2 linked regions of the Arabidopsis thaliana genome follow. The protein of the gene in region 1 binds, or shares a complex with, the protein of each later gene. Each region holds a gene or a part of one and is shown on either strand. Other genes may lie near its edges.

What was found.
Region 2: SKIP (region 1) and SR34b share a complex: the UniProt entries of both Arabidopsis thaliana proteins name them as parts of the spliceosome.

The regions. Positions count from the first base shown.
Region 1 is NC_003070.9:28,997,788-29,005,881, reverse strand, and holds SKIP (chromatin protein family), read left to right. Parts: upstream 1-3,746; 5' UTR 3,747-3,918; intron 3,919-4,041; exon of another isoform or gene 4,042-4,217; 5' UTR 4,218-4,249; coding exon 4,250-6,091; 3' UTR 6,092-6,305; downstream 6,306-8,094. Other genes in the region: AT1G77200 (Integrase-type DNA-binding superfamily protein), read left to right, coding at 791-1,525; AT1G77170 (Tetratricopeptide repeat (TPR)-like superfamily protein), read left to right, coding at 6,346-7,749. UniProt on the Arabidopsis thaliana protein: Splicing factor involved in post-transcriptional regulation of circadian clock and flowering time genes. Associates with the pre-mRNA of PRR7, PRR9, ELF3 and GI, and is necessary for the regulation of their alternative splicing and mRNA maturation.
Region 2 is NC_003075.7:1,064,892-1,073,801, forward strand, and holds SR34b (RNA-binding (RRM/RBD/RNP motifs) family protein), read left to right. Parts: upstream 1-4,082; 5' UTR 4,083-4,119; exon of another isoform or gene 4,120-4,190; intron 4,191-4,283; 5' UTR 4,284-4,294; coding exon 4,295-4,381; exon of another isoform or gene 4,382-4,485; coding exon of another isoform or gene 4,486-4,566; coding exon 4,567-4,632; intron 4,633-4,774; coding exon 4,775-4,849; intron 4,850-4,940; coding exon 4,941-5,076; intron 5,077-5,154; coding exon 5,155-5,201; intron 5,202-5,289; coding exon 5,290-5,347; intron 5,348-5,476; coding exon 5,477-5,526; intron 5,527-5,634; coding exon of another isoform or gene 5,635-5,644; coding exon 5,645-5,692; intron 5,693-5,765; coding exon 5,766-5,995; coding exon of another isoform or gene 5,996-6,017; exon of another isoform or gene 6,018-6,382; coding exon of another isoform or gene 6,383-6,393; coding exon 6,394-6,475; 3' UTR 6,476-6,783; intron 6,784-6,951; 3' UTR 6,952-7,037; intron 7,038-7,111; 3' UTR 7,112-7,332; downstream 7,333-8,910. Other genes in the region: AT4G02420 (Concanavalin A-like lectin protein kinase family protein), read right to left, coding at 1-1,481; AT4G02425 (LYR motif protein), read right to left, coding at 2,640-2,755, 3,100-3,772; EID1 (F-box family protein), read left to right, coding at 7,664-8,674. UniProt on the Arabidopsis thaliana protein: Probably involved in intron recognition and spliceosome assembly.

The DNA.
Region 1 (8,094 bases):
CATATATATATATATATATGATTGTATTTCTCCATTTTAGCTATATATTGTATAAGTAAACACTAGTCGACAAAAAAAAACACACAATCTCGAATTATAGACAATTTATATTGATCGTAAAATGATATTCTATTAGTGAATAGACCAAGTTACCAACGAGACCTAAGAAAACATCGCTACAAAAAATCATAGTCTAGTTGTATGGTCGTGTTAGCATTCTGATTAATCGTCATATTGTATCAATCGCTATATTGTTGAACTCATAGTAGCATATTTGGAAATAATTCCTAATGAAATATTACTATCCCATTAAAATTAAAGTTGAAATAAGCTCATGGACACATTATAATAGGTTAAACATATTTTTGATTTTTTTCTGCCCATTCTCCCTTTACTATTGCATAAGTTCTTAGTCAATTTTAACAAAACAAAAATATAAGTTCCTAGTCAATTCCGAATGGGAATGTTATTACCCCATTGAATTGATCAAGTTCATACATGGACCATGCATAGGTTATCACGAAGAGATAAATAAACATTTACTTGCCGAATGCAAAATATCAACATTAAATAAACGAAAACAAAAAATGGGTCATTCTCAAATAATATTGATGTGTGAATTTATAATGTGTACACACCTGTCATCATAAGTAAGCGATCGACTGTCCTTTTCTAACTAACTTCAACATTTCACTTCAATACTTCAACTCTCTTTCTCTCTCTCTCTAGTCTTTATATAAACCCTACGTACGTACTCTCTTCACACTCACTGAGTCAAACTCACGTGTCAATGACCGAGTCATCCATTATCTCCGTCAAACAATCGTCTCCGGTGCCGGAGGAGGAGGATCATCATCATCACCAACAAGACTCCCACCGAACCAACACCAAGAAACGTGTAAGATCCGACCCGGGTTACCGAGGCGTCCGGATGCGAACGTGGGGCAAATGGGTCTCCGAGATCCGAGAGCCTCGCAAGAAGAGCCGAATCTGGCTAGGCACTTTCTCCACACCGGAAATGGCGGCGCGTGCACATGACGCAGCTGCTCTCACCATTAAAGGAACTTCCGCCGTCCTCAACTTCCCGGAGCTCGCCACTTACCTTCCCCGTCCAGCTTCCTCCTCTCCACGCGACGTTCAAGCCGCAGCCGCCGTAGCGGCCGCCATGGACTTCTCCCCCTCCTCCTCCTCTCTCGTAGTCTCCGATCCAACCACCGTCATCGCCCCAGCTGAGACGCAGTTGTCTTCCTCGAGCTATTCAACGTGTACGTCATCGTCGTTGTCACCGTCAAGCGAAGAAGCTGCGTCGACGGCGGAAGAACTAAGCGAGATAGTGGAGTTACCGAGTCTAGAGACGAGTTACGATGAGTCATTGAGCGAGTTTGTGTACGTTGACTCGGCGTATCCACCTAGTTCGCCTTGGTATATTAATAATTGTTATAGCTTTTATTACCACAGCGACGAAAATGGCATTTCGATGGCTGAACCTTTCGACTCTTCCAATTTTGGCCCCCTTTTTCCTTAGTTTTATTTTTAAATAATCTCTTCTTTTAAAAACATTTAGCCTCCAAACCTCTGAAGTTTATTTAATTATTGGATTCAGACCAGAGTTTAATATACTTGATTAAACCTGATAGTACCATATAATGTTTATTGCTCTCTTTTTTTTGATCGGATCTTCTAGATATTTTGTACGAACACGCCAATTGTGATTGGACGATAAATGGTTTTTTGTTTATATTTTGCTAATTAACTTATATAGTTTAGGTGACCATTTTTTATACTTTAGGTGAACATTTGAGAATTAAACTATTTATATCAAAGTAGCGGTAGATAAAAGTATTATCTGAGATGGTTTGTTAGTTGACATATATTGAATCTTTTCAACTTGGTATTTATTATCACCCTCTGTATTTAATTCACAAAATTTCTACTGTTAGCTTCATATAACCAACTTTTTCAATTTAAATTATTGTTTACAGTGAATGAGAAATACAAGTACAATGCAATATTTAGGAAATACACTTTTGAGAAGAAAAATAGAAACTCATTTTCTTTCCCTAATTAAAAACAATTTGTACCAGAGAAGTAAAAGATTATCGTTCTACCAAAACGAATTTGCAGGTTAAGGATTATTTATCATTTCCTCTTGTTTGACTTTGTTTGCATTAGTCAGACATAATTAATGGCTTGACCCTTAATTTAACATGTCCATGCACTAACTCATATGCAAATCCAACGATGTGAAATTTAAAACCTTTTTTTTATTCATTTTTAATCTTTGTAAAACGAACTTATATTATGTTTGAACAAATATTTTTTCATACGCAATCCTTAGATGGGGAAATTAATACCTTTGTAACAAAAAAAAAAAAAAAATGTTAAATCAACTAAGTATTGGGTGAGTCTTCTCAACGAAAACATCAATCAACACCGGCCTCATAAGTTGATTAAATTAACACATTTATTATAATCATCGTACATTGATTTGAATCAAAATTAATTGTTACGTTAATTAGTAATGCATCTAACTATCCCGTAGGAAAAGGCCATTATATTGGGATCCGCGGTCAACGGAGGTTCCACCCACGAGCACGGTCTTTATTTGTTTTTTCCTTTCTCAAATATATATACGGATGTATGATTTTTTGCTTTTGGGGTTAAACAAATATGAATTACTGTGCTTAGATCAGAAATAGACACTTTTATACAAATGATTATATGATTACTGTTCATAGCATAAGCTCCTATGAAAACAAATAATAATCGCAACAGCCGTTTAACCTAATCGAATGCTGAAAAGCCCTCAAAATAGTTCATCTAATCCATGAATCGATTTAACAGAAAAAGTTGAAAATTGTATGCATATGATATACTCAAGTATATTCCGAGTTTTGAGTTGTGTAATGCAAGGAGTCAAGGACCATAGTTTGTCGTTGAACACAACCACGCCAAGTTGTCCACCAAAACTGGAAACTAACTACCATGCCGTTGTTTCCATAGAAGCAAAACCATTAACCTTCCCATTATCCCGCATGGCCACATATATGTTTAATAATATTTCTCACCATACATTTAAGTCTCTCTCGTAGTCGTTATTTACATAGCCTACGTAGTTCATTCATATCATTTTTGTTTCTTTACCTTATATCAAACAAATTGGTTGTTGATTAGAAAAACATAAATTGGTTCATTAAATATCAAACTAACGCCATCAATCTATTGTTTTTTTATAAAAAAATGAAAGAGAAGAAAGTTTGTTGATATGAAACTTACACTTGCTTTGAGTTTTGATAGACAAACCAAAGCCTAACTAGTATTTCCTCTATTGGTACTTGAATTCTGAACTTTTTCACCTTCCCTTTCGAGGTGGTTTAACAGTATACCAGTTGAGATGTACCAACACCAAATTCTTATACTTTTTTTTCTTTTAACCTTGAATTCAGTATTTTAAACGAAACTATGGGAATGTGTTTGAGACGGATTTTCATTAAGGACAATGCAAATAATTATGAGATGCTCAGAATTGTTGTATATATCAAAAAGCCAACACCTATAGTTATATATATAACTTTCTTCGATTTAAAAACAATAAGTCGCTTTGGCCGAGTGGTTAAGGCGTGTGCCTGCTAAGTACATGGGCTCTGCCCGCGAGAGTTCGAATCTCTCAGGCGACGTTATCCTTTTCGTTTTTTCGTCTATTTTTAAACCGACTTACATAGACACTGCGTATAAGACAATTGATTCCTTTTTTTTGTTGTTAATCCTATCAACCCTAGAAAAGGCTTCACGCCCGATTTCTTTTTTCCCCAGAAAAAGGCTTCACTTCCGTTCGTTGTTCTTCATCGGTCTGCGCCGCCTCGCACATCGTTTCACCTTTCTCAGAATCTCTCTTCCCGTCGATTAGTTTCCTCAGAGGTTAGCTTCTTCGATTTCTCAGATTCAATTCTGCTTTTTGCTTTCCTCCTGTTGTTTTTAGGTTTTTGTCGATCTCTATGTTCAGCGATTCCTAAACCCTACTTGTTTTCCGCTCTATTGTAGTGAATCCAACCCAGATTTTTCAGATTTTAATCGGAATTATTCGGGATCTAATGCTCGCGTCGAGTTTATCGCTAGAAAACCCTAATTTCGGAGGATCTGTCACTTTTATTATCAGAAGCTTGTTGTTGTAATTACGGATTAGGTATGTCCTGATCGTTATTGTTCTTTGTTTGCAGGTTGCGATTTGTTGAAAACCTTGATTTAGACTATGAAGTCTCTTAATGATCTTCCTGCGCCCAAATCAACCACTACCACGTATTATGATCATTCTAATGATGCTTGGTTCAAAAACCGAGTCACTGAATCCGAGACGGTGAAATCCTCCAGTATCAAATTTAAAGTGGTGCCTGCTTACCTGAATCGTCAAGGTTTACGTCCGAAGAATCCAGAGGATTTTGGCGATGGTGGTGCTTTCCCGGAGATTCATCTTCCTCAGTATCCTCTTCTTATGGGTAAGAATAAATCCAATAAGCCTGGAGCTAAGACTCTCCCTGTTACTGTCGATGCTCAGGGAAACGTGGTCTTTGACGCTATAGTGAGGCAGAATGAGAACTCGAGGAAGATTGTTTATTCTCAGCATAAGGATATTATTCCAAAGTTTCTGAAAAACGAGGGAGACTTGGGTACTGTTGTTGATGAAGAGGAGGAATTGCAGAAGGAGATTCAGGAGACTGCTGAAGAAACGAAAGCTGCCATTGAGAAGATTGTGAATGTGAGACTGAGTGCAGCGCAGCCTAGTAATATAGCAAGGCAATCGGGAGATTCACAGTACATTAAATATAAGCCATCCCAGCAATCTTCTGCCTTCAATTCTGGTGCTAAAGAGAGGATCATTAGGATGGTGGAGATGCCTGTAGATCCACTTGATCCACCAAAGTTCAAGCACAAGAGAGTCCCAAGGGCTTCTGGTTCTCCGCCTGTTCCGGTCATGCATTCACCGCCCAGGCCTGTTACCGTCAAGGACCAGCAAGACTGGAAAATCCCTCCTTGTATCTCCAATTGGAAGAATCCGAAAGGTTACACAATCCCTCTTGACAAACGTCTAGCTGCTGATGGAAGGGGCCTACAAGACGTTCAGATCAATGATAACTTTGCCAAGTTATCAGAGGCCCTCTATGTAGCTGAGCAGAAAGCTAGAGAGGCTGTTTCAATGCGTTCCAAGGTGCAAAAAGAGATGGTGATGAAGGACAAGGAAAGGAAAGAGCAGGAATTGAGGGCTCTTGCCCAAAAAGCTCGCTCCGAAAGAACCGGTGCTGCTATGAGTATGCCTGTCTCATCTGACAGGGGTAGGAGTGAAAGTGTTGACCCAAGAGGTGATTATGACAACTATGACCAGGATAGAGGAAGGGAAAGAGAAAGGGAAGAGCCTCAAGAGACGAGGGAGGAGAGGGAAAAAAGGATTCAGAGAGAAAAGATACGAGAAGAGCGTCGCAGGGAAAGAGAGAGGGAGAGAAGGTTGGATGCCAAAGATGCTGCCATGGGGAAGAAGAGCAAGATCACCAGAGACAGAGACCGTGACATCAGTGAGAAAGTTGCTCTTGGAATGGCATCTACTGGAGGAAAAGGTGGTGGTGAAGTTATGTATGATCAACGTCTGTTTAACCAAGACAAAGGAATGGACTCTGGTTTCGCTGCTGATGACCAATACAACTTATACGACAAAGGCTTGTTCACTGCACAACCAACTCTTTCGACTTTGTACAAGCCAAAGAAGGATAACGATGAAGAAATGTATGGAAACGCTGATGAGCAGCTCGATAAGATCAAGAATACTGAGAGGTTTAAGCCTGACAAAGCTTTCACAGGGGCTTCAGAGAGGGTGGGTAGTAAGAGAGACCGACCTGTTGAGTTTGAGAAGGAAGAGGAACAAGATCCTTTCGGTCTTGAGAAGTGGGTTTCTGATTTAAAGAAGGGTAAGAAACCTTTGGACAAGATCGGGTCTGGTGGAACTATGAGAGCAAGTGGCGGTGGTGGTAGCTCTTCAAGGGACGATGACCACGGCGGTTCTGGTCGAACCAAGATCAATTTCGAACGCAGTGACCGGCGTTAAAAGTCAAGACAAAGAAAAAGCTCAGTAACTGATCTTTGATTTCAATATATAACTTGTTATTTTGGATCTGTTAAAACAGTTTGCTTTGGATTATCAGTATTTATGTTGTTGTGAGTCTCTTAAACTACTCGAATACAATCTTTCAGCTTCATAATATCAGATCTTTTGAGCTTATTTTAGTTTCTTTTTCACTGTTACAACTTTGTGTACTTAAGAATCTTAGTTTTGAATCAGGACAACAACAAAAAAGACACATGTTCTTCTCTGGTCTTATCTCCAAGCTTCATGTTCATGGTACTAAGAGAACAAATCACTTCACGATCTTTCACCGTTTGAATCATTTCGTCACTACATCATCTTCCTCGGTTACGCCTCTTTCGCCTCAAGATCGAAACAAACTCTTAGCTACTCTGTTATCAAACTGCACTAGCCTAGCTCGTGTTCGTCGGATCCATGGTGACATCTTCCGTTCACGAATCCTCGATCAATATCCGATCGCTTTCTTATGGAACAACATCATGCGATCTTACATTCGCCATGAGTCTCCTCTCGATGCAATTCAAGTATATCTCGGTATGGTGAGATCGACTGTTTTACCCGATCGATATTCTCTTCCGATTGTAATCAAAGCAGCCGTTCAAATTCATGATTTTACGTTGGGAAAGGAGCTTCATTCCGTCGCCGTTAGGTTAGGGTTCGTCGGAGATGAGTTCTGCGAGAGTGGGTTCATTACATTGTATTGTAAAGCAGGGGAATTTGAGAACGCACGTAAGGTGTTCGATGAAAATCCTGAGAGAAAGCTGGGGTCTTGGAACGCCATTATCGGAGGGTTGAATCACGCTGGTCGAGCTAACGAGGCGGTGGAAATGTTTGTGGATATGAAAAGGAGTGGACTTGAGCCTGATGATTTCACTATGGTTAGTGTGACTGCTTCTTGTGGAGGATTAGGTGACTTGAGCTTGGCTTTTCAGTTGCATAAATGCGTTCTACAAGCTAAGACCGAAGAGAAGTCTGATATCATGATGCTGAATTCGCTCATTGATATGTATGGAAAATGTGGGCGTATGGATTTAGCGAGTCACATATTCGAGGAAATGCGACAGAGAAACGTTGTCTCTTGGAGTTCTATGATCGTGGGTTACGCAGCTAACGGGAATACATTAGAGGCTTTAGAATGCTTTCGTCAGATGAGAGAATTCGGTGTCAGACCAAACAAGATCACGTTCGTTGGAGTTCTCAGTGCTTGCGTCCATGGAGGTCTTGTGGAGGAAGGAAAAACATATTTTGCGATGATGAAGTCAGAGTTCGAGCTAGAACCGGGATTATCGCATTACGGATGCATAGTTGATCTATTGAGCCGTGACGGGCAGCTTAAGGAGGCAAAGAAAGTTGTTGAGGAGATGCCGATGAAGCCTAACGTGATGGTTTGGGGTTGTTTGATGGGAGGGTGTGAGAAGTTTGGGGATGTTGAGATGGCTGAGTGGGTGGCTCCATACATGGTTGAGCTTGAGCCGTGGAACGATGGTGTTTATGTTGTCTTGGCTAATGTGTATGCACTCAGAGGGATGTGGAAAGATGTTGAGAGAGTTAGGAAGTTGATGAAGACGAAGAAGGTTGCTAAGATTCCTGCCTATAGCTATGCTTCAACGACATTTTGAAACTTGTTTCTCTACATGTTCGAAAAATGTAACATCATAACAAAGAAGATCAAGATAATTTTTCTAATTAGATCCTTAATCCTTCTATTTTATTCACTCACTGAGAAACAACACCTGACATTGCAGTTTTAGATTTAGTAAATTAAGTACTCAGATATCGTGTTGGCAATTTTGCTAGTCATTTCCGACATCAAGATCATGTCGAGAGGAGTTTAAAACTCGATTTCAACTAATTGAAGGCTTCCGGTTTAATGTGTTCAATTTCCGGTTTACTGATTTCATTTTGGAAAACAACAAGGCGGGACCCAGGAATTGTTTTGACAGCGGGTAGGACCCAATTTCAAA
Region 2 (8,910 bases), on another chromosome or scaffold:
AAATCCCCGAGTCTCCCATTGAGCTCTGCATCTAACAAGACGTTGCTGGCTTTGACGTCGCGGTGAATCACCACTTGTTCCCACTCCTCGTGGAGATAAAATAAGGCAGAGGCCACGCCATTAATGACTTTAAACCTCTGTTTCCAATCGAGGGTTACCTCTGGACTATTGTACAAATACTTGTCTAAACTTCCATTGGGCATGTAATCGTACACCAGAAGAAGCTCGTCTCTCCGACGGCAATAACCCACGAGAGGAACCAAGTTCCGGTGACTCATCTGTCCAATACTCACGATCTCAGCCACGAACTCTTTCAAACCTTGTCTAGATTCGTTCGAGACTCTTTTCACGGCAATCTCCTTCTTCGTCTTGGGCATGATACCTTTGTAAACACTCCCGAACCCGCCTGATCCAAGAATGTTCTTATCCTTGAACCCTTTTGTTGCATAGTACAAGTCCTTGAACCTTAGTCGGTTCTTCCCGAACTCTGTTTCCCAATCTTCCACCTCCTCCGCGAACTTTCTTCTCCTCTTCATGATGAAGCGCACGAGGAAGATTATAAGCAAGAAGGGAATCAACAAGAGGGAGATCAACGGCACCCAGTTCTTGTAGAATCTGTAGACTCTTGTAGGTTTTAAGTCCCACACCGGCAATCTCGGAAGTTTCGATAAGGCCAATGGCTGAGCTTCCCCATTCACTCCAAAACTCCACCCAAGAACAAAAATTTCGGACACAATATTACCGGTCGCAGACGAGAAACCTACGAACATATCTTGCAAAAGAACAGAGGACAGATCTCTGACGATAGAAACAAGCGGTTTCCTAGGTTTAACCTCACCAAACGGAGCCATGGTTACATCGATTAGATGGGTGGGACCATCGAAATCGACCCAAACCTGCATCCGTTTACTACTGATCAAAGTCAGATTGTGAAACTGATCGTTCTCGTCCCAGTACCCAGCAGGAGAACTTTTCACCGAGTTCAAGCTATTGATATCGATTCCAACATGGTTATTGTTCGTATCATTGAACTCGATATTCATAATCGTGTCAAGTTCGACAGCGAATACATGGTTCCTAACGTTACCGTTGTTTGTTACATTGAAGAGACCGAGGTATTGTAAGGGGCTGCCGAATGGGAGGCGAGGGTTAGGAGCGATGACAAAGGCCATGCCGTGTGCAATGGGTATCTGAGAGTGAATAGCGAAGACAAAGGTAGTGGAGAAAGACGATACGGTACCGTTTGGAGAATCTTTGAACCGGATTGGTTTGGTATAGAAGGCGTGACCGGTGCTCTGCATGGTTGTGTTGGTTAGCTTTAAGAGACCGTTTGGTGTGATGGTGGCAATTCCTAGGATGGATATGTCTGTCGGTGGAGGACGGAAGCCATTGTAAGTGAAGTCGATAATTTGGGAAGAGGACTTTAGGGATTGCCAAAAGAAGCTTAAGAAGAAGATGGTGAAGAGCTTGATGAAGAACATGGTGAAGAGTTTTATTTTATTTTTGTTGGCTTTGGTTTAGGTATTTGAGTTTGTAAAGAAAATTTATGGAGAGTGTGGAAAAGTCATTTTTTGTATTGGTCAAGGGAAAAGTCGTTTCGGCTTAACCTATATTAGAGGTCATGGTAGAGACTCACGAAGATGAATGACGGATCATAAAGGTTTTCAATTTGTAATGTTGTGGTACAACGTGTGTTTGTCTCCGGTGTAACTTATCTTGTCTCACATTAATAGAGGCTTTGATTAGAGATGTACAACGTGTATCATCTCATTATGTGTAAGTCACTATTGAGTGAAGCTGATGAGTTAGTAAACGATAGCCATAACTAAATCTAATTGCAAAAACAATGTGTCACTACTCTGTTTTCCATTGTGTTAAGGTTTGGGATTTAATCATTTGGTATCAAATCACGTTTTGGTTTTGATCCGAACCACAATAGTGGTATTAGTACCGCACCTAACTTTCATTCTTTTGTTTTTAGTCAAAACTATTTTGTGGTAGACAAACTTCCATCTATTATCTTGGTTTTAATTCGGACCACAATTGTACTATCAAGTCTCTATCCGGAAAAAATAATAATTGTTCACCCTCGTGACTACGGCATTCTATTTGCACAAGGACAGAGAGTCATGACTAAGTCTTTCTTTTAACTTCCATCAATTGCAAATAATTGTGTCATATTCTGATTCATATAATAAAGGAGCAAGAGTAACAATCATAGTTGTCTTTTTTAGTTACATTTGTCTACATATACTCTCCGCGACAGAGTCCCAAATGAAGGTCACCAACTTGGTTTCCGTAAACGGAATGGTCTTTTGTGCAGCTATACACGCATTGTGGTTTTCGTAAATCTTTCTCCAGATCGTCGAATCTTTGAGACATCCATATCACCAAAAAAAGGGCACAGATTTTTCTATAAAAAAAATGTTTGACAAAGCTCTTTACAGTTTCAGGTGTTAGGACAAATACATATTAACGTTTCTCCAATAAGACCTCTTCTCTTGGTATCTGTAAACAACTCGGTAAGAATGTCTGCGGATCATCATGAGGGTGGATGAGCATGGAGTCAACAGTTTTGTTATGTTCATCATCTCATGGAGACATTACTGAATAACTGAATAGTAATGTCTTTGTTATGTTCATCTCATGGAGTCAACAGTTTTGTAGTCATGTTGTCTTCTTCGCCGGCACCTGAATTGAGGTTTACTATCTGAGAATTTCGTCTCACCAGACATCCCCATTGTTGAATCTGTATCTGCTCCAAATCCAAAACACTCACCAATCACTAAACATATCAAAATACCAAGTACATACATATCCATTTCAGACAATGACCTAACATGATAAGAACCCAATTCCACAATGTACAATCATTATTTCATTCCCTAACCCAAATTTGACAACTTTCTGACAATTCCTATGAGGCAATGCCATAATAGACAAGCAGAGCAAAATCAGACTCATTTTCATCAGAAGAAATAACACTAAAGTTGTCATCTTTAATCTAATCAATGATGATCAATCTCCAAATCTTCATAGCAAAAACCACGAATCTCAAGATGGAACACAATTGCTATAAAAAGTCTCTGAATTTAATACCTCCCCAAAACAATGGCTTGACATCTTCTTCTTCATCATCAAATTCATCACCATAGCCAAACTCAGCATCACCTCTGTAACCAGGCTCACTCCCATACCCAGATTCATTCCCCATTGGATCAACTCCATTAGCAAATCCAAATCCACCAGAAGCTTCCTTCTCTCCACCAGAATCTCGCCGCTCTCTCCGTGAATTCCTCGCCGCCTCACTCACATCAGAAGCCCAATTCGCTTCACCAAAAAGCTCTCCACTTGAATCTGTACCAACAGCGAAAGGCAAATCCGAACAAGTCCCATGAGCACCAATGGAGCAACATCTCCGAGTCCCACTCCGATCACTACTCCGACCAGACACCGATCTCGAATTACGCCGCCGCCGCTTCCTCGCTACTAACCTGAAACTTCCTCTATTGCTGTAATTGGAAGCTGATAATGTCTTCCCTCCATTGTCGTCGTCGGCGAGTGAGAGACGGCTCATAGCTTCGATGGTGAAAGAAGTGGATCGATCGGAGAAGCAAGGGCGTTTGGGAGTAAAGGAGTGAAACCCATTGGTCTGCGGTGGTTGGTCAGATGAGTCTAGGGTTTTGGAGCGGTGAAATGGTCGCCATGAGAGAAGCTGTGAAGTGCATGATTCAATAGAGCTTCGTGATGACTCTAGATGTTTCGGAGACATTGTTAAAGGTAACAACTTTCCAGATCACAAAAAGCGAAAATGAAAAAAGAAAAATCCTTTTGAGTGAATCTGAAATTGGGAATGGATCTGTGTTGTTTTCAAGTTCTTTGAGAATATCGAGTAGTGAAGATTTGGAGTTGTTCTTTTGGGTTTAAGAGCTTTTGATTGAAGATTACGATTTGTTGCAAAACGGGTCAAATGTATTTTATACGGTCAAGACACAATGTATTTTAATACGTACCCGGTCGGTCACGTGACTCACGTGATGATCTCTATGGTATTCGAAAGCCCTAGTCAGATTTCAATTTTCGCCTTTCTTCTTCTCTTCCATCGGAATTTTCTCTCAGGTGATCGGAATCGTTACTGGAATTTTAGTTCATATATAGACGATCAATCAAACCTCTTTAGTTTTCCTTAGGTTAATCGTTATCCAATGAGTTTTTTTTGTGTGTGATCGCTTCTTTGTTTCGATCTATTGACGTTTCGAATCTCAATTTTGATTTTGGTATAGGAAAGAAATAAATGAGCAGCCGTTCGAGTAGAACGATTTACGTCGGGAACCTTCCCGGCGATATCCGTGAAAGAGAAGTTGAAGACTTGTTCAGTAAGGTAAATTACTCGTTTCTCCTAATTTAAGAACTCAGAACTCAGGATCGAATTTTGTGTTATGTGATGAATATGTCTTTACAAGATTTGCATGTGAAAGAAATTGAATGCATCTTCGGAATTGTTGGATTCTGATTTTATTTGGAAGAAGTTTCCTTAAGAATTGTTCTTCCTTATTTTTTTTGAAGTATGGACCTGTTGTTCAAATCGATTTGAAGATTCCGCCGAGGCCTCCAGGCTATGCATTCGTCGAGGTCAGATTTTTTATGCAACCACATGTTTTATAAAGGCTTGTTGTTGATTTTACAGTTAGGCTCTTCGTTGTTGTTGAGTGTTCATGAGTTTTCAAATGTTGGGAGATACTACCACTAATGTTTTGTGATATATGTGATTTAGTTTGAGGATGCTCGTGATGCTGATGATGCAATTTATGGCCGTGATGGTTATGACTTTGATGGGCATCATTTACGGGTTTGTTAATCATCAAATTTCAGAATTTTTACACAAACTTTGTATTGTTGACTGGTAGCCAAACATAATTTATGTGTGTTGGCCATTGCAGGTGGAACTAGCTCATGGTGGGAGGCGTTCATCACATGATGCACGCGGTAGTTATAGTGGTCGTGGTCGTGGCGGTCGTGGTGGTGGTGACGGTGGTGGTCGTGAACGTGGACCATCTAGGAGATCAGAGTACCGCGGTACATATGATATGTTTAGCTTTAGTGTATTCATAAGTTTTAGGAGAAATCACTAAATTAAGATTTTCCACTATACAGTTGTAGTGTCAGGTTTGCCTTCATCTGCGTCCTGGCAAGACCTCAAGGTGATTACACAGTTGTGGACAGATTCCTCATTGTCGTTCCTATATTTTCTACGATTTCTGAATGTTGACATATCACTTTGTTTTGAAGGATCACATGCGTAAAGGAGGAGAAGTTTGTTTTTCTCAAGTGTTTCGTGATGGTAGAGGTAAATCCTCATGTCTTACCCAAGAATAGAGATGTGTCTAAAGCTGTTTGGGTTTTCTGCCTTTAAATCCTGTTTTAACTAGTCTGTGCATGCTTTAAAAAATCTATATCGTGGACTATTTATTTACAGGTACAACTGGAATTGTAGATTATACCAGCTACGAGGACATGAAATATGCGGTGAGATGTTTTTCTTCCTCTTCATATTATTTGATTTTCTGTGTGGGACTGTGGCTGAGAATGTGTTCATCCTTGATTACTCATGATTATATTCTTTATTTTGTCCAGATAAAAAAAGCTCGATGACACAGAGTTTCGGAATGCGTTTTCTCATGAATATGTTCGGGTATGTTAAAGACAAGAATTCTGAGAGCTGCATTCGTTTTTATTGCACTTAACATTTCCCTATGTCATTACAGGTTAGAGAATATGATTCAAGGAGGGATTCGAGGAGCCCCAGCCGTGGAAGATCCTATTCTAAGAGCCGCAGCCGTGGACGGAGTCCCAGCCGTAGTCGTAGCCGCAGCAGAAGCAGGAGCAAGAGCAGAAGTCCAAAGGCTAAATCTTTGCGTAGATCGCCTGCAAAATCTACATCGAGATCTCCTCGCTCTCGCTCCCGCTCTAAGTCGAGGTCACTGTCTCCACGAGGGTATGCTTCATTTCTTCTATAATGTTTATGCTAAAATATCCAACATAAAACATAACATAGGCTCTATTTAGCTCTTCCCTTGAAGTTTGGTGACATCACATTAAAAGATGTCACTGGGATGACTCCGAGTTGTTGATTGAGAATGATGATTGCTTCTAGTTAAGGGTACACGATTTATTTCCTTTGAAAGTCTGGTCTTTTATAATTATAGTGTTGAGAATGGTTTTGTTTCTTAGATATGGATATACATACAATCAACTAAAATATGGGAAATAGTATCTGGATCATGGATGTCTTGGTTGGTTGTACACAACTGTTTCGTCTCAGAGGTATATGCTCTTTCTTAGATGGGCAAGTTCGTTTTCTGATAATATCCATTGCTGCTAGATGGGTAACAGTGGAGAGACATTGGATCGCATTGATATAGTGTCATCAAAATGGACCCATCGAGCTAGGACAGATATTTTCATTACCTGCTAATCGACAAGCGATCTGGATTCTCATGGAACCGATGCTGTTCTGGACACAGGGTTTGATAGAATTAGATTTGCTTTGATATTCTCCATCTCTACCATCTGTTTTAACGAAAAGCAGGCTTGTGTTGGTTTGATTTTCTGCTAGAAATAGTCTGAAGATATGTTTTTTTCTTTTTTGCTTCTTGTGATTGTGTTTTGATGTCTGACATGGAATGAGGCATCAAGGGTCTTGGTGAAACAGCTATTAAACACGGAAATATTGGATTTTTAAAACTGGATTTGTTTCTCGGACTTTTGCAGATCTCGTTCAAGGTCAAGATCTCCTCTACCCTCTCTAAGTCATCTATCTCTAATACACTTTTTACTCCGCTATACTATCAGCACAATATTTTCGGTTTTCAATCCATACTATCCAAAAGACATGATCTATGTCTAGCTAATTACATTCTCATCATCTGGATTGAATTGTGTGTGTTGCAGGTTCAGAAGGAAGCAAGTAAGAGCCCTAGCAAGCAGCTGAGCCCTATCCGTGGTAGGAGCAAGAGCAGAAGCAGGAGTCCATCTCGGTAATGCACACTCTTTTTAACTTGCTTGGAACATTCTCACTCTTTCTCTGAATCTCTTTCCAACTGTTTTACAGGTAAAGAAACATCTCATATCAGGTAAAAAGCTGGGTCTGTTGGAAGATTCTCATAAAGATGATCTCTCTTATGTATGAGAAGTTGAAAAACTAGTTGTGTATTTCATTCTTATTAGCTTGGGTTTGCACATGGGAATGATATATACTCAGTCATCATCAGTTTATGAGCTAAGCTCAGCTGATTTATATGACTTGCTAATATAGTTAGTGCTTAAAACGAACTATCAAAAATTACTGTCGAATACCAAACTTAATTCAAAAGCTCACAATTCGATATTAAAATTTTGAAAACGTTCACAATAAATGAACCTAAAAAGACATGTGCATTGAACTCATTTTGATACCCGGACCCTTTACATTTTAGTTCAGTCCGTACGATGTCATTTTCGAGAGCTGTTGCGCATTACTTACTTGCCTTTGTGTGGGTGTTAGTGAATCTGTGACCCACCTTAAGAACAGTTAAGACTATTCCCGGTTTACGCGTACCGGACCCATAACAGTATAAGTGAATTTGGATAAGAAAGGAGCCGCCTAGAGAGAAGAAGGCGATCCATGGCGGAATCTGTCTTCTCTTGTATACCAGAAGACGTAGTCTTCAACATCTTCTTCAAGCTCCAAGATGATCCAAGAAACTGGGCTCGTCTCGCTTGCGTCTGCACCAAATTCTCCTCAATTGTTCGAAACGTTTGTTGTAAAACTCAGTGCTACTCCGCTATCCCCACCGTCATCTCCGATCTCCTCCCTCTTCCTCCCTCCGCCGCCGCATCCGCTTCTTCATCCACCGCGGCGGATTCGTCTCTTACTCCTCCCGGTGGTTGGGCTTCTTTATACAAACTCGCTGTTTGTTGTCCTGGTCTCTTCCACGCTGGAATTCTCCTCGAAAACTCCGATTTCGGTTTAGAACGTGAGCTAGGTCCCGATCAAAACCTCGATCCGAAACCTACTACGACGGATCTAGCTCTTAACGACGAAGAAGTTTCGAAACCAGTTGGATCTGGTTTAGAAACGACTTCGTTTTGGTCTCTATATGATGATCTCTACACAGATACTATTCCCGCTCCTCCTCCCGAAGATTCAATCGACGATCAAGAAGAAGAAATCGAAACGAGTGAGATCAGACCTGGACGAGATCTTCCGGTAAGGAAACGAAGGAAGATTTGTCGATCTCTAGGATCTCATTTAGCTTCCGGTGGCTGGAACCTTAGCCGTGAACAAGGCAACAAGCTTCTCGCGAGTAGATTCCGAGGTGATTGTCTCTACATTTGCAATTGGCCTGGGTGTATTCACGTAGAAGAGAAACGAAATTACATGTTGTTTAGAGGAGTCTTCAAGGATTTCAAAAGGTCTAGAGTTTGGAGAACGATAAACGACGGTAATCGGAGTAAGACCTCGGGTTTGAAATGCGCGTTTTGTTTGTGCGATGAGACTTGGGATTTGCATTCATCGTTTTGTTTGAGAAGAGTGTTTGGGTTTCATGATGATGGTGAACCAGTTGTGAGAGCTTATGTTTGTGAGAATGGTCATGTCTCTGGTGCTTGGACTGCTTTACCTCTCTACACTTGATAGCTCACTAGAGAGGACAGGTCTTTCATTCTTCTTCCACGGTCTCAAGTCTCAATCTTGTTTGATGTATTTGTAGGAATAGTGTCATTGTGTTTCAAATTCTGGTTAATGTTTAAGTAATGGTTGAAGAAAATTGGCTCAACATATTGTGGTTGTTTTGTTTCAATGTTGACAACATATTAGACTTCGATTCAAATGCATAAACTCTTACGTCAAAGCCAAAAATTTCAAGTCCA